Linked DNA regions of Diceros bicornis minor. The protein of the gene in region 1 interacts with the protein of each later gene in a biochemical or structural test. Links are inferred from orthologs where the notes say so. Each region holds a gene or a part of one and is shown on either strand. Other genes may lie near its edges.

Region 1 (10,781 bases):
CATGACAACTGTTTGATAAACGTATAAGGATTTAAGCCTTTTAAGACCTGGGCTCCTGATTCTGGGTTTTGGGGGCTTTGGCTGGAGAGACACCTCCCAAAGCTGACAGGGACAGGCCCAGGAGCCCCGGGGAGATTTGGAGATGATGGAGAGAGATGCTTGGAACTCTCACCTGGCAGGAATCTGTTTCCCAATGAGGGTCAGCAGCACACAGCATTTTGGTGGTGACTTCAGAGCCGTAGTAGTGGGGCTGCTGACACTCCTGGTGGGAAACCAGCTTCACAACAGTCATTTTCAGCTGTTCTGGATAGAGATAGCCAGCTAGATGGAAGAAACAGGGGGAATTTATGTAAAGATGTATCTGTCTAGCCCTCCCACTGGGATTTTCTGCCAGGGAGGGGACCAAAAAGTGTCCCTACCAGAGAAAGCCCTTATTCTTTTTCCACCCAAATCTGAGCCTTTACCCCATCTATAGCCCCTCACCCCCCATCTATTTACCTTTATGATCCATCATTTTCTAAACAATGTTCCCCACTGCATCCCTGGACCCATCTGCTGCCTCCACGATGCTCCCGTCTCTATCTCCACAGTCCTCCCTTGATCAAGCTGAGCTCACTTCTAGGTTACAACACTCCCCCAAGACCCTCAGGCAGCCCCAAATATCACTTACTGGAAGTCTCTTTTCCAAAGCCAGTGATCTCACAGTTTGTGCCAAAATGGTCATCGCCATATGGTGGGGGCAGGCAGATGGTCTGTATGGACCGGGATGGCTGTGCACACTGGCCCGAGCTGGAACTGATCTTCAGCAAGGCTGGGGGAGGGGCAAGGGGTCAGGTGGTCACCATCTCTCCCCACCAAATGCTGAGGGAGTGGCTTTCTATCCCTAGGTCAATTAGGGTCAGGGCTCATCCTGGGAGATCTGCTGATAGCTTGTCACCCAAAAGAAGCCTCCCCTGTCCCATGCCTCGAGGGCTTTGTCCCAGCTCCTACAAAGGCTGGGACACCCAGGGCTGACACATACAACTGTATGGGTTTTTTTCTGCAAAAACCCCTGGCTGAGGTAGCTGGGCTAAAATCCAGCCCAATGCTCTCTCCAACTTCTATATCCTGGGACAGACAGAGGCTGCATTCAACAAAGGAAGGGGCATTCCAGCCCAAGCCATATGCCCAAGGGGCCACTGCCACCCAGAGGAGGTTATCTGTTTGGAAATTCAGGAACTCTACAGAGGAGCACCAGGCACCTCATATGTGTCACTCTGAATCCTTCTCCATCACTCCCTTTGTTGTATAAAGCAGGGTCTTCAAGTTCCCCTACAACCTCAACCTCCCACCTGAGTCTCTTCTTGGACCCCACTTCCCCTAACCATCCTTATTATGGCAGTTGAGGGTTTTCCACTCACCGATATCATTGTGGTGAGCAAGTGTGTCAGCACTATAGCCCTCATGCAAGATGAGCTTTTCCACCTCAAACTTCATCTCCCCAGGCGTCTCGGAGTTAAGACTTGACCGACCCAGGTAGACAGTGTAGTCCTCTTTCTTTGGGTGATTACTGTGGGAGGGAAGACCTGTCAGACAGTCTGATCTCATGAGATCCTGTCACTTCCCCTCCACACCACCTCAGAGCATGACTTGTTCCCAAGGCCATGGGCTGCACGGAGAGGGGCTGAGAACTGAAGTGGAACCTTTCGCTGGGAAAGAGAAAGGGATGTGTTCGGGGTAGGGCAGGAGGGTCAGAGAGAAGAGACGGGGGGACGTACATGAAGCAGTGTGTGGCGCTGACCACCCAGCAAGGACTGATGAGGCTGCCGCCGCACAAGTAAGTGACAGAGCCTCCGCGGTGCCTCTTATAGATGGCCGCAAACCAGGGCTGGTTCTCGATGGTGGTGAATTCTCCCCCAACAATCTTAAAGCGGGGCCTCAGAGCCTTCTGACCACATTGAAATTCTGCTTTTTCCGGAGGAGAGGGGGTACTTTTTCCTGAAGGAGAAAAAGAGGGATGTCTTGGGGAGGCAGGTAGGATAAAGTGCCCCTCTCCTTGTCCTCTGACCTCCCAGTTTTTCAAGGCCTGGCAGGCTCCTTCCTCATCCCTCCTATGATGGAATGAGGGGCTGTACGAGTTTGTCCCCTTCCACCCTACCATCATAAACAGGTCAGTGACACTCACCAAAAGAGCAGTCCTGCACCATGCACTCTTGGACAAGCTGGTTTAGGCCAACCTGCACATAGCACCAGGGCCTTCTCTGGTTGTCTGGGTTCCTAGCAACACAGAGTGGAAGGGGGTGTCATACCAACCCAGAATGCCTTTCCTGCATCCTCCCCTGCAGGGAAGACTCAACTAGAGGCCTTGCTTTTCTCATGCTGTGGCCAGCACTCTGGAAGCAGAAGGGGATGGTAACAAGGGTTTCTGTGAGGCCATGGGGAGGGTCCTTGCTGCCCCCACCTCACCTGCAGTAATTGTGTTTCCCCAGGCCCAGCTGAAGGGCATCAGGTCTGTGGGCATGATATGTTTTCATAAGGACTGCGGGAGAGTTCCACTCCAGGCAGGGCCGGCCCCTGATGTCAGTTTTGGCCTTCCCTCGGTAAGAGCGACCATTCCCCTCATAACAGGTTTTTGATGTATCTACAGAAGAATGTGAGGATGAGAAAATATTAGAATAAGGAGGAAGTTCAGACAGGCATTTTAGAGATCCTGCCAAACACCGCATGATTTAAACCTTGGCAGAAGACACTAGAAAAGTGTCTCCTTCCATCTCCATCTCACATTTGTGCAGCCACAGATTCATGAGACAGTGTGTGTTTATGTTTGACTGTGTACATCACATAGGGATGAAGATGTCCCCCACTCCACCTCCAGCTCTTAACTCCTGCCTGCTCTTGCATCCCACCCATCTCTCCCTGCCACAAAATCTCTGGTGCCCCCTCCTCCCCACTTAGAATCAGGATCCCCATACCTATTTCACAGTGTTCCCCTTGGAATTTCTTTGGGCAGTTGCACCGCTGAATGTTGGAGAAGAACTTGTAGGACACACATGTTCCTCCATTCAGACAGCCACAGTTTGCTGCAGAGCACAAAGGTGGGGGGTAAGCAAGGAGTGTGGGAAGAAGCAAGGGGGAAGCCAGCCCTGCAGCAGGGTCAGGGAGGGGCTGCCCCCTGAGTCTTTTTCAAGATGTCTGTGCAGCCAGATATTATGCAAGGGGTGGATACTCACATGCACTGGACGCTCCATGAAGTTTATGGCTGCCCTGGAAGAGAGGGGAGGGGAGGGGGAAAGTTCACTGAAGGTCCCACGCTCCTGGGATTCCAGGGTGTGGATAAACTGGCCCCAATCCCAAAACTCACCCTTCCCACCAGCTCCCTCTCTCCTCACTCTGTTCATATCTAACTGGCCCTCAAATGGAAGATCATAGATTTCCAGCAGGGAGAAATGGATTGACTCAAGCAAGCTTCACATATCAGGTGCCAGCAGGCTGGGGCAGTCCCTGCGGTTTTTCCTCCTTTGCCGGCAAGTGAGAACTCCCTTGGTTCTCAAGGCCCCCATTGCCACACTTGTCCTATTTTCCTGGGAGGGTCTGGCCCTGCTGTTCATGGAATTCGGAGGACTCCAGTTCCCTATGCAGCCCCTTCCTTCCCCTGGCGCTGTTCAGGGGTTCAGCAAACCCCGCCGCCATAAGTCAAAGCAGAGAAGCCACTCACTTCAGAGTCGCTCACGACCAGGACACAGAGGAGCAGGCAAGCCAGCAGGACTCTCATGGTGGCGAGGCTGAGGCTCTAGACAGCGGCTCTGCAAGGAAAGGAGAAGTCAGGGGAAGAAGCGGAGGAGCGAGAAAGCGGCCCGGGTGGTTACTGCAGTTCAGGGCAGAAGCCCCTAGGTCCCCTGTGAGGCGAGCCCGCGGTGACCAGGCTCCCCAGGCCCGGCCGTCTTTCCTTTCTCGGGCCTCAGGGGTCCCGGCGCAGCCTGGACCGGCATCCGGGGGGAGACGCATGGACACGGGGAGCGGTGACTCAGCCGCGGCCGCAGCCGAGCCGGAGCAGCCGGGGTAGGGGGAAGGGAAGCCAGCGGACGGGGCCGCCGCGCATTCGCCCCGCGCTCCTAGGGCGGCGCGCACTCACCGGCGGCTGTGGCAGGAGGGCTGCGGAGCCGGGATGGCGGGCACAGGTTGACACTGACACTTAGCCGGGCTCCGGGGCTCCAGTCTCTGCGCTGTGCTGCTAGCCAGCTGCGCGGACTCTATATTAGGACTCGCCCCAGCCTGGCCCCGCCCCAGCCCAGGATCGCCCTTTCCACTCCCTTCCCTCCCCTTCCCGGAGCCCGCCCCGCGACCTGGACCCCGCGTGCTTCCCCAGCCATGACTGAGAGTGTGGGGCAGCGTGGTCCCCAGGGGAGGAGACATGCGAGGTCTGAATTGTGGGATCTAGAGGCATCTAAATTCGCAGCCCGCTCATCCCAGCTCATCCCATTCATCTGGCCTGGGCCCCGCCCCAGTGCCAGGCCCCGAGGTGCAGAGAGGAGAGGCGCTGCCGGGACTTTGTCCCGGTACAGCTCTGATACCTCCTCCAGGATCCCCTAAATCAGCTGTTCTCCAGCCTTTTCACACTCGACCGCCAACTGCCTGGGAGACTGATTCAGACCCCTGGATATATAGGGGCAGGGTCCGCAGCTCATATAGCTATGAGTTCTCTTTCTCAACGTGAAAATGCACGTGACACGCACTCGCTGAAACACAGACAAAAAACCTGCTAACAGGGGCTGCTTCTGTCGAGTGCCGGCTCCCCTCAAATCTTCAACACAACCAGCGGATAAGACAAAGCTGAGTTTATTGCTTACTGAATTTAGGGATTTTGGTAGTGGGGAACGAGAGAGGGGAGGTAAGGTCGGATTTCATGGAGAATTTGCAGTTTGTTTTAAGGGTGGTCTTTGAAAGTGAGGGCCTGATAAGGATTGGATAAGGATCATGATATAATATTGTAGGATTGTGAGAACGAGGTCTTAGGGCACAAACTGTTGATGCTTTCTGTTGAAGTGTTGATGGGTCTTTCAGGAAGTTCCTACAATGAACAATCCATCTATTTGCTTGGGCTGGAGTATAGTTAGTTGATAAAGACAATGGAATAGTAAAGCCTTATTAATGTATACAGTAAACTGTGGAGGGGTAGGAAGTTCTGTTTTCACCTCTGAAGAGAGGAATTGGGGAACTGGAGGACAAAAATGAGAAGATTTGTTTTTCACTGTATGCCCTTTTACGCTATTTAAATTTTTGAAAACACATCCTTATATCACCCATTCCAAAAAGATGATTACAGAGTTCTGAATGCACATGTATTTAGTATTCTACTTCATCATACAGCCTTGTTTCTAATAAGGTTAAATAATTGCTTATCAAATAAGGTGGGCCTCCAGAAAGACAGACCATGTGTAAAGGACTCTACCCGTTCTTCCTGCCTGATGGTGAGCGCACACACTTGTGTACACAAGCACATGCACACACACATGCACACGCACATATCCCTCAGGCACAGTTGAAGGAGCACAGCAGGGACTCCAAGGTTGGGTCACCCGCATCCCTTTCCCCTAGTGTTGGAACCAGGGCTTGGGGTCAATTCCACCTAGCAGGGCTGTCTCCCCTAATGGGAGAGGAGGGGGCTGAGTCCCTATAACTCTCTAGAGGTTCAAGGCCAGGCCCAAGGCTTGGTCCCTCTCCCCACCTAGGCCTACAGCATTTTGCTGCCTAGCAAACCTGGACTGGGTCTGGGACCACTTGAATGGGGCAGGACAAGGGCAGGGAGAGTGCCAGGAAGGTAGGAAGGAGGAAAGACTCTTTGCTCTGCTCCAGCCCAAGGTCTCAGGATGCCAGTCTCTGCCTGGGGAAAGTGCAAGTTAACTTTCCAGCTGTCACGAGGCAGGTGACCCATAGTCCTCCAGAGAGAGCTTTTCTGTGCCCGGCTGAGCTGCCAGCCTCCCCAGGGATGGACTAAGTCAGAGGAGCTACAGGCCTCGGAGCTGGCCTCACTACTTCCTCTAGAAGACCGGGACATGTTTTGTTTAGATTTAGAATACATTAATTGTAAATAAACATGATCAAAATGTAAACAGAGATGTTGCAGCCTGAGGACTTACCCTGAAACTCTTAGGTTAGTTATCAGGAAATTCCCAGCAAACTGTCTCGTGAATCACACAGCTCCCCAGCAGCTCTCATGACTCCAGATTACTTGGCTGGAGGCTGTCATGCTGAATCTCAAGAGTAGGATGACCTCATTTCCTCCCTGTCAAAGAGGCTTGGAGACCGTTATGCAGCGTGACATCCTCTTCCCCCTCCTTCCCCCTGCTGCCTCTTCACCTGGTTGAACAATCCTAGAGCCTCTAACTCTTCACAGAACTTCCTTTTCACTCTGTGATCTTTGGCGCTCTCTGAAATCTCTGTGTCTGTCCTTTGGTGCACAGTCTGTGCTAGTCTTTCGGTTCTTGGAGGGCATAGACCACATCTTAAATACCTTTGTCTCTCCCTCAGCACTTGGTGTGTGCCTTGTTCACGCAGGTGCTTTATTATAAATGAATCAGGAACAAGTGGAAACAGAGAGCTTTGGGGCACCCCAGAAGTTTCCCGCCTCTCTCTGTCTTTTTTTCCTTGCCATAAAAAATAGTACCGGCATCGTTTCTGTCTTGTGCTAAAAAGCACTTTGATATAAACTATTCTCCTTTAAACTCACAACTTCTTTGTGATGTAGCTGAGAATTGTTATTCCCATTTTGCAGATGAGGACAATGAGGTGGACAGAAGATACACAGTTGACGAGCGGCAAAGCCAGCACCCAGATTTTCATTCCATTGCTCTATGCCTCCCTGCCTCCACAAGAGAGAGGTACAAGACAGAATGCTGTGAAGAGATGGGCCAGATGATGTAAGATGTTCCAGCTCGGAGAGCCATCTTACTGGCTTTTGAGAACTTCCAGAAACACTCCTCAGGCTATGGGCTCTGAGCTCCTGGGAGGGCCTTGCTGTAATATGAGTTACTTGCTCATCTGAGTTGCAGGACCTAACTTGGTGGTCTAGGCTATCTGAAGTTTCTATCAAGGATAAAAGAATAAGGAACTGAATGTGTATGATTTCATTCTTTCCTGACTCCCAGAGTAAAGCCACCAGCTCCCTGCCTCTGTGTCTCAGGAGTCCAGATCTCCTGAGTCAGCAGAGACTAATGGAGGGGCCCCCTTTCCTGAAGCTGTTCATAAAGGGGCAGGCAGATGCCAGATGTGCAAGGGGACCAGGATGTCCGAACTTGGCCCTGAGACTGTGTCCAGGTAACTGGGCTCCTGAAGGGCTATTTTCTGACCAGCAGAACCCCAAAGGAAGTTCACGTCAAGTCGTAGGATGTATTCCTGGATTGCTGTACCAAGAAGGTTCAGCTTGGGTATAGAAAGAGCACAGTGTCTAGCCTCAGGTCTGACACATCTAAGTTGAATGACCTTAGGCAAGACACTTAACTCTCTTGGTCTCAGTTCTCCAACCATAAAATGAGGCAATGCCTGCCCTGCCTGTGCCTCACTTTGAGGACTGAATGAGATCATGCTTGTGTGTGAAAGCATTCATTCACCCCATTATTCATTCATCCAGTATTTATCACGGATCTACTGTGTGCCAGGCACAGATCTAGACGCTAGAGATAGGACGAACTTTGGAAACTATAATTCCTACCCTGAGTGCCTCCCTTGCCTTCCTGACTATGGCTGTACCAGCCCAGAAGACCACGCCATTCTGGAATCCATCCCAGAATTCCAGCCAAGTGGGGATGCTATGTCCTTAGCTAGCAGTTCCCAGCAACTGGCCAGCTGCATGTGCTGCTCGCCCCCACAGCCCTAACTCCCACTTCCTCCCACTCCTCTCTGTTGTCTGCGGCCTGAAGCTCTTCTCTCTTTCTTACACGGGGGCAGATGGACTCCTCTGCAGTTCTGGGAAGGAGATGCTAATTGCTGATCACATAGCTTCCTTGGATCTGAAGACTCCTTCTCCCTGCGTGTTTAGTGTTAAGGGCAAAGATGCTGTCGTCACAGCAGGCACTGAAAGCCACGTCTTGGGACCGTAACATGATAGGGGAGGTGCTGGAACTTCTAGGCCCCCAGTGGCCTGTGGAAAGAGTGGGGCGGGGAAGCCACATTCTTGCTTCCTTACTCATGGAAAGCAAAGAGCCCAGGGGCTGCACCCTGAGGTTATACTTTGTCGTCAGTAGCACTATGAACAGAGGGACCAAGTTGGTCCCTCCAACTTCAGCCTATGACCCCCTACCCTTCCTCGCCCTTTCCTGCTTCACCATCTCTGGCCCAATTCCTAGCCCCACCCAGGCCAGTCAGCTCAGACTTCTGCATGAATATTTTGAGCCTTGGTCAAATTTTTTCTTTGTCTCTAACTTAAACCCAGTTACTTCCTAAGTCAAGAACTTATTGCCTTCAAGGAGTGTTGGTCATGGCTTTCCAGACCTTCTGGATTCTGACTCCCTCACCAGGAACCAAAGCTAGGCCCTGGTCCTAGAACTTCTGCTTAGAGCCCAGGTTACCATGTTAGATGGCAATGGCTGCTTAACTGGAAGCTAAGTGGGATACGGAGGAACAGAGGGCTGGGATGGGAAACCAGAAACTGGTGGGTTTGCCGAAAACTGCCAAAAAGTCAATGACGTTTAGAGAAATAAATGCAGCCGGGAGCTGATATACTCAAAAATATTGTTCAGAAGAAAACCAAGATAATATCCATAGCCCATATGATGTATAATTTCATGTGCTTATGGCCCTCCTAAGCTGGATTCTATATGCTTCTCTGTCTTTAAAGCAAGTGCCAGCAGTTCCCTTTCCATTACACAGAGAAGGAAATAGAAGACTAATGAAGGGAAGTGAATCATCTGAATTCATTCACTGAAAATGATGGGATTCAGAATTCACCGACTTTTGAGGAACCTCATGACACATTTTCACCCTGTCCCCTCCTATTCTGAATCCTTACTCCTCCCTTCCTGACCACCTTCAACCCCCATCCTCAGTTTCTGTGTCTTCCTACCCACTTGCAGAAGGTGCCTCTTTTCTCCAAGCAGTGATTGATAACAGTGTAATGAGGCAGCCAAGTCCTGGGGAGAAGTCAGTCTCCTATTAGAAGGTACTATAGGGGGCCACCCTGATGGCATAGTGGTTAAGTTCATGCGCTCTGCTTTGGCGGCCCGGGATTTGTGGGCTCAGATCCTGGGCATGGACCTACACAGCGCTCATCAAGCCATGATGAGGCGGCATTCCACATACAAAATAGAGGGAGATTGGCACAGATGTTAGCTCAGGGACAATCTTCCTCACTAAAAAAAAGAAAAGGAAGGTACTATAGGACAAAATGTGTGGAAGTCTGTGGGAAGAAGGAGCAGGAACATAGCAGGGAGCCCCTGAGATGGTGCATATGCAGAGTGAGAAGGTAATGGAACCAGGAGACTCCTGTTTGCTCTACCAGCAGTGATGATGGGAAGTGTGACAGGAACTAAAGAAGAGGAAGTCTATTCTCTCCAAGGGGATATTATAATCTACCCTTTGTTAAAGATAGATAATAACAGCCGACCTTTATTTGTTTTACATTCATTTTCTTTTTCAATCTTAGCAACAACCTTTAGGGACAGTACTATTTTTTTAAAAAATAATTTTATTTATTTATTTATTTTCCCCCTAAGCCCCAGTAGATAGTTGTATGTCATAGCTGCACATCCTTCTAGTATGTGGGACGCGGCCTTAGCATGGCCGGAAAAGCAGTGTGTCGGTGCGTGCCCGGGATCCGAACCCGGGCCCACCAGCAGCTGAGTACACGCACTTAACCACTAAGCCACGGGGCCGGCCCAAGGACGGTACTATTAATATCACTATTTTATGGATGAGAAAACTGAGGCTCACAGAGTATAAGCAGTTTACCCAAGGTAACACTATATGTAAATGGTAGAGTTGGGACCCATATCAAGACCTGGTTGATTCCAGGGTTTGGAGAACTATCTCTGAGGCAGTATGACATTCAGTCAGGAAGGTGGGGGTGCTTGTCCTTATACCTGGAACTCTTCCTACTTCTAATCCACGGTGCCACCCCAGCGTAGCCCCAGCTGCCCAAGTCATGTCTGTGTTGGTTCCTGCCTACCCAGCTCAAGCCAAATGTTTATCAAAAAAACATTTGATAAAAATGTTTTTCCTTTTGCTTAATATGGCCAGCCACAGTTGTGTCTGCTGAGTCTGGTCAGAGAAGTGATCTTTGGGTCTTCTGGCTGTGTTTATATATCTTTATGGATCCCTGGAACCATCAATGTCCAGTCTTCCTTTTTCACAACCATTATTTACCCGTATTTATATAATGGAGATACCCTGGGGTTTTTCTGTGGTAAAATAACAGTAGCATCTATTTACTGAGCATGCATTTTATTTCACAGGCATTGGGTAACAATTCTGTATGCATTATGTCATTTAATCCTCAATGAGGGAGATGCAATATCTTCCCCACTTTATGGATAAGGAAATGGAGGCTCTGAGAGGTTAAAGTCACACAGCCAAGCCAATACCTGGTAGATCAAACTCAGCTTTCTGACTCCAAAGCCTGTGTTGATAATCACTATGATAGTATTGTCTCTTTATCCCTTCTTGAGAAAAAAAAATACCCTGTTGAGTAGGTGCCCAGGAATCTGTAATAATAATTATTCACTAATGTTATGTTTTCCAACCTTGTCTGCTGATAAGAATCACCTGGATTGAAGGTTTAAAAAACATAGAATTATAGAATTGAAAGCCCA
Region 2 (10,372 bases), on another chromosome or scaffold:
TGTCTACGGGAACAATCCTCCTCCGGGGCCTTGTGGGACACGGGGCTGAGCATCAGGAGCCTGGATTCTGGGCTTCTCTTTGCCACTAAGCTGTGTGACCCTGGGCAAGTCAACCAACCTTTCCGGCCCTCAGTGCTAATCTCCATTGATGAAAGGTGAGGGCAAGAGCCAATGTTCTCCAGTGTTCTTCAAGGCACTCATGTCTTGCAATTGTGTGAAAAGAAACCATCATCAGTATATCAATGTTATTATTATTATTTGTGAAAGCCTCATTAGCCAACTAAAGGTGTGTATAAATCCCTAGCTCCCAGGAGATAGATGGCCTTAGTGCACCCTCATCTTCCACTGTGGAGGCCTGTGGCCTTTCAGGAGAGATCTCCACCTCAGGGGTGGGTCACTTTGCCAAGGAAGAGGATGTTCTCCATGTTCTCCACAATGAGCATCAGAAAGGGCTTGTTGAACACTATCCTTAGAGGGCTCATTCGGGCCGACCTGAACGTAAATATTGCCCCTGTGGCTGCAGCTGCCTTGGTTCCCGACTCGTCCACCTCCACCACGGCTTTGTGCACCATCTGCAGGGGAGACACCAGGTGTCACCGAGCCACCAGGGGCTGGGAGACGCCATCATAGGAAATGACAAAGCTTCTGCCGGCAACATCACCATCAAAGTCTCCATGCAACTGAGCCACGAAGCAGGTAGGAAATGCACAAGTGAACAGTTACTGTGCCCCAGGCACTGTGCTTGGAGGGGAGTGCACACGTGTCTTTTATTGAATCCTCATGACTTCTCGCAGCAAGGGTGTGACTCTCCAATTTTAGAGAGAGAAAGGAGGCTCAGAGAGGTCAAATAATTGTTGGAGGTCACACAGCTAGTGAGTGAAGGAGCTAAGACCCAATTCTTAGTTCTGATTGTTTAAGACAGACTCCTTCCCCCAAGACACAGTGCTGGATATGGCTTCCCATTGCACAAAGGATAAGACAGGAAGTGAAACCTTTGCTTCTTGAGGGAAAAGAAGAAAGAGAAAGAGAATATGGAATGAGGAATGGAATGGAATAGAATAGAATAGAATAGAATAGAGTAGAGTAGAGTACAGTAGAGTAGAGTAGAGTAGAACAGAACAGAACAGAACAGAATAGAATAGAATAGAATAGAATAGAATAGAATAGAATAGAATAGAATAGAATAGAATAGAATAGCCATCTCTGAAAGCAGGTGCGCAGAAGCTTCTGGGCTCACCTCGGACACCTGGATGTTGGAATGGTTGCTAATGCCACTTAGGTTGGCATGGGAGGTGAAGACATCACTGATCCCCAGTTTGGGGAGAACTTTTTCCAGCTGATAGGAGCCCTCAATGGAGAACTTTGGAAGGTAAAGCTCTAACTGCCTGGAAAGAGAGGAGGGCCTTTCTTAGACTCTTCTAGAGCATCGGCACACTGAGCTCATATTCCTTCTATCTCTCCTTGGCTTCATAATGATCCTCCAGCCCCTTGCCTAGAGTGGAGCCCATCCTACCCTGGACTTGGACCTACGCTGTCCCCAGAGGTCACTGCCCATTCTGATGGCACCACCAGGAAACTTGGTCATGTCTTCCAGCCCTGCTCCGTCCAGCAGGGCCAGGCCTGGGGTCTGGGACTTCACATGATGCCTCTGGGCTTGGAGGCAGCTCCTGGGCTGGATGAGTCCTTCCCACCACTGCTGTGTGGCCCTAGGGAGACATGTGTCTCTCTGGGGGTGTGTAGGGTTAGGCTGGCCCCGGGGTAGTCTGAAGAATACCTCTTTATGAACATCTTGAGCCACTTCCTCAGGATTTTCTTGTTCAGTCCGTTCTCCACCTGCCCCATCCTGCCCTCGCTGGGGAGAATGAACAAGGCTGTGGCATTCCCTTGGTAGGGGATCCCCACCACCCTGCAGGAGAGGTTTCGATCCAGGAGGTAGTAATACTGCTCCTCGTGTCTCATCATGGGCACCCGCACCACCATCTCCGAGGTCACATGGAAGTCCTGCTCTTGGGTGCTTTTGTGGTCAAAGCTTGTCTCCCACTTAGCTGAAGATTAAAATGGAAAAGAAATGAGAACTTCTCAGCTGCAAATGACAAGTGTGGAGACAGTAAACCTATTAAGCAGAGATCATCCTCTTTGGAGCAGTCTGGCTGCTGGCAGTGACTGGAGAACACTGTGACCAGGAAGGCAAGCCCCTTATAACTTTGGGGCACACTGGAACTGTTTACGGGGCTTTTCCATCCACATTTGCAAAACAAGAAGGCTGGTTTTCAAGTTTTTAGAGGCCCTTAACCTCTAATGTTTGTTTGAGGCTCTGATGTTACTTGAGGTCAAATATCCAAGTAAAGAGGATAAAAATACGGATGGCTGACAAAGCTACACTGTATCTGGGTGACTTACTCTGTTTTTCACTCTTTTCCCAACATTGGATTTGGTCTAGGTTTGGAGGAGAGCTTTGTAAGGTTCCTGGAAATACATGATTTTTCTTGCTAGGAAGTCTTCAGTTACACTTCCTGCTCTGTCTGCTTCCTACGGGACTTTTTGATCAAAGCGATACAAGTAATTGTTTCCATCTTCTTAATAGCTATCAAATATGGACCCCCTCCCAATACCTCACTTAGCTGATTTCACAGCTGTCCTCTGCAGCCTGGTGTAATGGAGAGAGCCCTGGGCTATGGGACAGGAAATCTTAGAATCCAAGCTTGATATTCACCATCTGTGACCAGGAAGTGGGGGAGGTGGCTAACAATTTCACTATTTTCCTCCTTCCTTCCTCTTTCTCTCTCCTTCCCCCCTCCCCCTCCTGCCCCTGTCCCTCCCCCTCCCCCTCCCCTCCTCTACCTTCCCCTCCTCTCCCCTCCCCTCCTTCTCCCTCCCCTTCCATCCCTTCCCTTCTCCCTCTCTCCTCCCCCTTTCATCCCCTTCCATCCCCTCCCCCTTCCTTGCCCCCCTCCCATCTCCCCTTCCATCACCTCCTCTCTCCTCTCTCGCTGCCTCCTTCCCCTTTCATCCCCTTTTCCCCACCCCCTCTCCCTGTTCATCCCCTCCCCTCCCCTTCCCTCTCCTCTCCTCCTCTCTTCATCCACTCTGCTTTCCTCTTCTTCCCATCCTCAGCCAGACCCCACACAGGGCGCTGAGGGGTTCAGCATCTAGAAGGAGAAGTTGACTTGGGAGCTGGAGATGAGTAGAGATATTTACATGAAACCCCAGGGAGATAAAGATGGAGATGGGTTCTTGAGGAGGGGAGAGGAGGCTATTCAGAGGAACAGGCTCTCATCCCTGGATTTCTCGGCCTAGGAAACAGCCCCTAGGAGGGTATGGGGGAGAGGGTCTGAGGCCCAGGGGAGCAGCTGAGAAATGCCCTTGAAAGCCCATCGAAGGCCGACAGTCCTGGCCTGAGTAGCTGTGGTGTTGGTTTCTTTGGCACCTTGGCCATGAGGAACTCATGCTTCAGAACCTGAGTGGATGCTGTGGCTTCAGGTGTCCCCAGGGTCCCGAAGACAGGACTCAGCCCTTCCCCAGTGGAGGAAACAGCAACCCTGGGGTCATAAGCATCTCCTTACCCAGTGAGAAGGCGCCGTCTTATCACGGCTGATTGTTGGCCTCACTGTTATCAACAGGCACCAGAAAGGACTGAATTTACTCCTCCTCCTCCATGTGTGCGAGAATTGGGTATTCTTTTGACAAAAGCAGTTGGAAGGAGAGAGGAAGTTCAGGCTCGAGCCCAAGGGTCTTACCTTTAAAGAAAATGTAATTCACCATAACCATAATCTCAGTGCTGTCCAGGTCCTTAACCAAGTCTGCAATCTTGCCTTTAGTTTCCTTTGCCACGTAATCATTGATCTGCTTCTGGGCCCCTACGGGGTCCCCAAAGTTCGTGGGGATAGTGTCTGCCAGGTACAGTGTCCTCATGGCATTCAGGAAGGTGTCCTGGATGTGCACCGTGGGGTTGATGAAGAGGGCATTGCCAAGGCTCAGCTGGAGGCCTTCTTTGGGCCGGCTGAGCTCCTGTAGCAACTGCTGGAATGCACTGTGGAGCTCTTCCTCCGGGCCCCCCTGGAGGTTGAGACCCAGGCCCTGCAGGATCTGTGCCTTTGTGTTGGACCGAGCCCCAAGGGAGATCATGGCCAGCGTCATGGAGATGCTCAGAGGAGAGAAGAAGATGTTCTGGTTGGGGGCAGCTGCAGCCAAGGCCCTGTAGAGGTCGAAGGCAAAGTCTCCGGTGTGGGGGGCCACCGTGGTAACTACAGGTGGCAGCTCCTTGCCTCTCTTCTTTGTCTCACGGGAGCGGTGGCGGTGGAGGGTGGCCACCAGCGGGCTGAGGAGCACCAGGCACAAGAGGAGGTTGAGCTGCATTGTGGCGGCCCCTTGTTCTGAAATGGAGAGTGGGAAGATGTGCTCAGAGAGGGTGTGGGGCCAGCGTGTCTGCCCAGAGAGAAGATCAGGAGGAAGCGTGTAAGACCGATGTTCCAGAGAGATTTCACGGCTCAAAATGCAGCATCAGAGGGAAAAGACGACCAGTGAAGCTGGGAGTGAGGGCTTAAGGAGGGCAGAAGGGGCTGCAGGATGAGGTTTGGGGACATGGATATCTAACGGTGGGGAGAGGAAGGAGAAGGCAGAGGGGAGCAGATCCAAGGCAGGGACTGGCCACCAGGGCAAGAATCCTCCCCTCTCACCCACATCAAGGTACACGTGACAGGGGATGGGACATGGAGCTGGGAGGTTCTCCATGTTCTGCCTGGTCAGCATCTCTGTGGTTACTGGATTAGCAGCCTGCTTCCACGTGTGGCTCTAACCCTCGCTTTGGTCCTCAAGTGCAGCATTTGGCAAGGCCTGGTGGGCTTTCTGAGAACTCAGACCAACTACCCGCTGTGGACCCCCAGCACTGCTGGATTTGCCCTTGTTCACTCAGCAAATATATATTGAGCATCTGCTACAAGGCAGGCAGGGTGCTAGGCTCCTGAGAGACGGTCCCTTCTCCTTCTCCCAGGGACGGCTCCAGGACCCTGCAAGGCCACCGTTGTCCCTCATCAGAGGCACCTTCTCTTCCTGAGGAAATTCTGCCCTCTTAACGTGTGCACCTCCACTTCTCTCCTCTTCTGTGATGGGCTGAATTGTGTCCCCAATTCAAATGTTGAAGCCCTAACCCCAGTACCTTGGAATGTGACTATATCTGGAAATAGGGTCTTTAAAGAGGTAGTTAGGCTAAAATGAGGTCATATGGATGGGCCCTAAGCCAATACGACTGGTGTCCTTATAAGAAGAGGAGATCAGGGCACAGGCAGACACAGAGGGAAGACGTGTGAGGACACAGGGAGGAGAAGGTGGCCATCTGCAAGCCAAGGAGGGAGGTCTCAGAAGAAACGAGCCCTGCTGACACCTTCATCTCAGACTTCCAGCCTCCAGAAGGGAGAGGCGATAAATGTCTGTTGCTTGAGCCCCTGGACAGTGGTGCTCTGTCACAGCGGCCCGAGTGCGCTAAGACATCTCTCCTTTCCCTCCCCCAGACAAGAGCCCTCGCCTTCTTTCTCTCTACATCTCTCAGGTGGGGTCTTCCATCATTCCGGCCTCGTCCTCCACCTTCAGTCCCTCCTCCTCTTCCTCCCTCATGTCCATCTACCCAGACCCCTCCTCTCCAACCGGAAACCTTTCCTGCACCCAGGCCTCCCAAAGACCTCCTTCCACCCGCTGTGACTAGCCCAGACTGCAGCCCAGCCGCCTGGGTTCAAATCTCGGCCCTGCTACTCACTCCAAGTGTGATTTGGGGCAAGTCAGTTACACCCCGTCCTCTGTCCCCTACCTGTTCAACGGAGGTAACACAGTGCCTGCACTGGGGGTGAGGGGGGAGTGGAGACTTTAAGGAGTCAATGTAGGTAAAGTGCTTGGAACGGCGCCTGGTGCAGACCTGGTGCTGTGGAAGCAGGAGCTGTCGGTGTGGCAGTGTCTGGCCAGGGCCCACTTGTCCCCCCATTTGAGCACCCCATTTCCTCAGCCGTACAGTGGGGTACGTGCTTTCACACACTCGTTCTCATGGGAGCCCAGTGTTGGCCGGGTAACTAACTCCAAGGCTGCCGATGGCCTGAGTTCTGATGAAAGCTCTTGCTCAGATCTTCCCCTCCAGCTGAGCGTTCTCCCCCATGGACACAATGTCATCAGGTCTCCCAGCCCCAGCGTGAGCACGGCCACGGAGTCACGTGACCCAGGCAAAACCAAACTCCAAAGGGCTGCAAACAGCTGCATTGTACATTGCTTGCAGAGTGGCCCATGGTGGGGGAGGGAGGGAGGGACATGACATGCCAATGAGCTTGGGAGTCAGGGGACCTGGGCTGCAATCCTGCCTGTGAGCGAAATCGAGGGACTCGAGCAGGTCGCACTCACCGCCCCTGGCCTCCAAACTGCACCTGAGCTCACAAAGGAGGCTCCTTTAGAATGTTCTGTCTGCAGAACCTCTGGCTACCCAGCACTGAATACAGCAGCCTCAGCAATCACCGTGCCCGTGGGAGGCCCAGGCGCATCGCCGGCGCCCGCTGGGAGGTGCTGTGCTGTCTTGACACATATCAACTCCTTTAGCCTCACGCCCCCCGACGGAGGCAGGTTCTATTACTAGCTCCATTTCACAGATGAGTAATCTGAGGCTCAGAGAGGTCGAGTCACATGCTAATAGTGGCGAAGCTTGGGCTCAGACCCGGTTCTGCCCTCAATGCCCACACTCTAAACCGCTGTACCATCAGTTTCCCCAGATCCCTAGTCTTGCTCTTCTGGGTCTCGGCCTCCCAATCTTGTATTCCCTGCCTCAGCAGCTGCCACTCATAGCCCTTAACCTGCAGATAATGAAGAAACCCTGTCTGGCTTCCCATGCTTTTTGTTTTTTGAACAAAAACTCCCTTTTTGTTCCCACCTTGAGAGTTGCCTTCCTGGAGGTCTTTCAAGGACGTGGGTGGGTGGGGGACTCTCTATGTCCTTTCAACTAGTCTGTTTTACAGCACACTGTGGTCCCTCCCCCAAAGTGTTAGCACCATCAGATAATTCCCTTAAAAGGAACCCTTTCAAAGAACAGCTACAGAGGCAGAGGGAGTTTCCTGTGTGGACGGAGCCCAGAGGCAGCTGACTGGGGTGCAGGAGGGAGGGTTCTGGCTCCCAGCCTCCCATCCATGCAGCCCTCCTGGTGACCTTGGGGCAGGCCCTTCCCCTCTCAGGCCTCTGTTTCTTCACAAACAACTGGAGGTCTGTCACATGTTCTGTCCAGTAACCTTCCCCCCTGCCACTGTCCCCACCCCCTTGAACCCCAGAGATCTGACAGGCCAGAGCCACTTCTCCAAGTGCCACTGAGTCTCCAGGATAGCAGGGTCTCCTTGGAGAGAGCTGCAGCTTCACTCAGGGTCCCCTGGGCTGCAGGCTGGGGACCAAGAAGTCTTGCTCCATTTGGGCTCACTCTCTCTCTCTCATTACTATTTATTAAGGACCTATTATACATTCTATAAATATTACTACATTTCAGCTTTACCGAAAGCAAGCAGGCCTCCAGGAAGGCAACTCTCAAGGTTCAGTCCGTTTTACAGCTGAATAAACTGAGGCTTAGTAAAACGGAATAGCTTGTCCTAGCCAGTGAGTGATGGAAGCAGGATTAAAATCCAGATTCCTCGGACTGATGTAGTGCTGCCTCTTTGGTCCCTTTTACGGCCCTGAGGAATGACCTTGTTCCTCCTCCCCTGTAGCTCCTGCTACATATCCCTGGGTCTCTCCCAGGCTGGTCACCTGTATTAGCTCGTTTACACTCCTCCACAGCAACATGGAGTTGGTATCGTTATCATAACTGTACAGAAGAGGAAACAGAGAGTCAGAGACGTCACTTCTGAGAAAGTGGAGGCCTTGGGGTGCTCATTTCAGGTTTCCTAGTTTCAAAGCTCAGGCTTTGCCAGCACACTCCTGGGCCTCTGGTGGACACACACAGATTTGACAGAGTTTTGTGCCAACTTTGAGCCGGCGTGAGTCTGCTTCAGGCACTTAGGAGACCAGCCCCACTGCGTGGTGGCAGAGCCTGGCCTGGCTGACCCTCTCCTGGGGTGTTTCTGCAGAGATGCCCCCACATGTCAGAGGGAAGAGAGCAGATCTATCAAGCCCATCTGGCACCCCAGGGCAAAGAGACCTGAGGAGGCAGGAGGTGGGCAGGCCCTGGGCAGCCCTCCCACTGATCCTCAACATCCACAGACCCAAAATCTGCTGACGTTTATTCTAAACATTAAGCAACAGAGTCCCAGCGGGTCGACTTTGGACTCAGTTGTGAGAGGCGCACAGCTGAGGAGGGTCTGTCCACTCTCTGCTCATTACAAGAGGAGATGTCAGTCTAGGGGCCCAGGCAGAGAGGAAAAGACAAAAACCACAACTTCCCCAGATCCTAAAGACGTTGGGGGCAGAGCTTCCTGGGATCAGTGACCTACGAAACTTTCTTAACCTCCCTTCCCATCTCCAGACCATCGGCGGGACTTGTTGGTTTCCAGCTCTAAAATATGTCTTCAATCTGCCTGCCTCTCCCCATTTTCCCTGCCACCATCCTGATGGAAGCCCCTTCTGTCTTTCTCCTGGACCACCCCATTGCTCCTCCTGCCCCTGAGAACCATTTTACATCCAGCGTCTGGAAGAATCTCTGTGATACACAAACATGGTCATGGTGCTCCCCTTCCTAAGAACGTGATTCCGCTCATTCCTTTGAGATAAAATCTAACTGATTTGTGCGATAACCGAGGCTCCATGTGGTCTGGCTCTGTCTGGCTCTCACCAGCCTCATCCTGACCTGCTCCGCCCTCAATCAGGTGTGTCCTCTGAGCACACTCCTTTTTTCAATTCCTCCAACACAGTCAGCCCTGTCCCAGCCCTGGGCCCTTGCACATTCTGCTCTTTCTGCTGGAAACGTCTCTCTGCCTTTCTCTCCAAGGCCAGCTTCTCCGTTGGCTTCAAGCCTCTGTTGAAATGTCACTTCTTGGGGATACCCTGTCCACGCCTGGCCCCTTCCTCTCCACCATTATCTCTCTAACATTCCCTTGATCGTTCCTCTCTGGCTCCGTCAATTACAGCAGTGCAATTACTTCTGCATTTGTGGTTGCCTTCTTTTGTTCCGGCCTCCCTCCCACTAGAATACACGCTCATAACAGAGAGGACCCTCATCTGGCCTGCTCCCGGCTGCGAGACTTCCAAGTCAAGGAAGTTGATTCTACCTTTGTGGAATAAACGAATGTATGAATGAATGGACCTCTGTCTCCTCCTCTGTGATTCAGAGGTGTCAGAGCACACGCCAGACATGGCGTGGTGGGAATGAGCCGGGCTGAGCATCCAGAGCTGAGCTCTCTTGGCCCTGGGGCTAACTCATCCGTGGACCTTGAATGACTCCTCCACTGCTGCTCAGCTTCTTTCTCTCTTTTTCTTTTTTAAAACCACTGTATTGAGATATGACTCACATACAAAGAGCCGCTCATATTTAATGCATACAACTTGATAAGTTTCAAGCTACATACACACCCGTGAAACCATCCCCACCATCAACACAGCCATCACCCTCTTTCTTACCCCCCGTCCGCCCGCCCTCCTTATTCCTCATGCTGCGGTTTCTTGACCTGTGAATGAATGAGGATGTTGGCCCAGGGGAGCAGTTTCTCTTTTATTGTTATATTTCTTGCCAAGGGCCCCATCCTTAGAAAAACTGAAAATTCCACTCATTTTATGCCTATGTTTTGTTTATTTAACAAACGTCCAAACAGTGTCTGATGCCCCAGCGGCCGCCGTGATACTGGAGGCTGGGTGGCAGCCTCCAGGCAGGGCTGCCTTGTCTCAGGGAAACATTCTATTTGATCATTTTCCCTGATTTCCAAAGGTCTGAGGTTCCAGGCACAGAAAACAATCAAGCTATGGTTTACTGAGTATCTCCTGGGTCTCACTTTTCGTCCCCACTCCCTTATTTCAGGGTTTCTCAACCTCGGCACTGTTGGCATTTGGAACCAGATCATTCTCTGTCGTGGGGCTGTCCTGTGCCGTGTAGGACTCTTAGCAGCATCCTGGTCTCTGCTCACTGGATGCCAATAGCAGCCCCCCGTCCGGTCGTGACAACTAAAAATGTCTCCAGACATTGTCGGATGTGCCCTCGGGATAGAGTCACGCCTGAGTGAGAGCCCTCACCTTATTTAATCTCCACGGTCACACCGTGCAGAGGTCACACCGTGTATGTAATGAGTTGCATCTTACCTATAAGATCTGAGGCTCGACTCGATTTAGTGTTGTGCCCAAGGTCACACAGCCAGAGGAGACTCTGCTGCCTCAGAGGCCCTGGCTCATTCTCCACCAACGTGGAGAGCTTTTTCTGTTCACTCTGGGACGCCTCCAA

What was found.
Region 2: the proteins of PLAU (region 1) and plasma serine protease inhibitor-like form a complex in vitro, tested with the Homo sapiens proteins (2 studies listed by BioGRID). The link is inferred for Diceros bicornis minor from reciprocal best matches to the Homo sapiens genes PLAU and SERPINA5.

What each region holds. Positions count from the first base shown.
Region 1 is NC_080745.1:32,781,161-32,791,941, forward strand, and holds the start of PLAU (urokinase-type plasminogen activator), read right to left. Parts: upstream 4,216-10,781; 5' UTR 4,112-4,215; intron 3,783-4,111; 5' UTR 3,752-3,782; coding exon 3,695-3,751; intron 3,244-3,694; coding exon 3,210-3,243; intron 3,060-3,209; coding exon 2,952-3,059; intron 2,621-2,951; coding exon 2,446-2,620; intron 2,257-2,445; coding exon 2,165-2,256; intron 1,978-2,164; coding exon 1,758-1,977; intron 1,550-1,757; coding exon 1,401-1,549; intron 812-1,400; coding exon 671-811; intron 322-670; coding exon 173-321; intron 1-172. UniProt on the Homo sapiens protein: Specifically cleaves the zymogen plasminogen to form the active enzyme plasmin.
Region 2 is NC_080763.1:40,250,027-40,260,398, reverse strand, and holds the start of plasma serine protease inhibitor-like, read right to left. Parts: upstream 4,357-10,372; coding exon 3,738-4,356; intron 2,046-3,737; coding exon 1,775-2,045; intron 1,386-1,774; coding exon 1,238-1,385; intron 573-1,237; coding exon 384-572; 3' UTR 1-383. UniProt on the Homo sapiens protein: Heparin-dependent serine protease inhibitor acting in body fluids and secretions. Inactivates serine proteases by binding irreversibly to their serine activation site. Involved in the regulation of intravascular and extravascular proteolytic activities.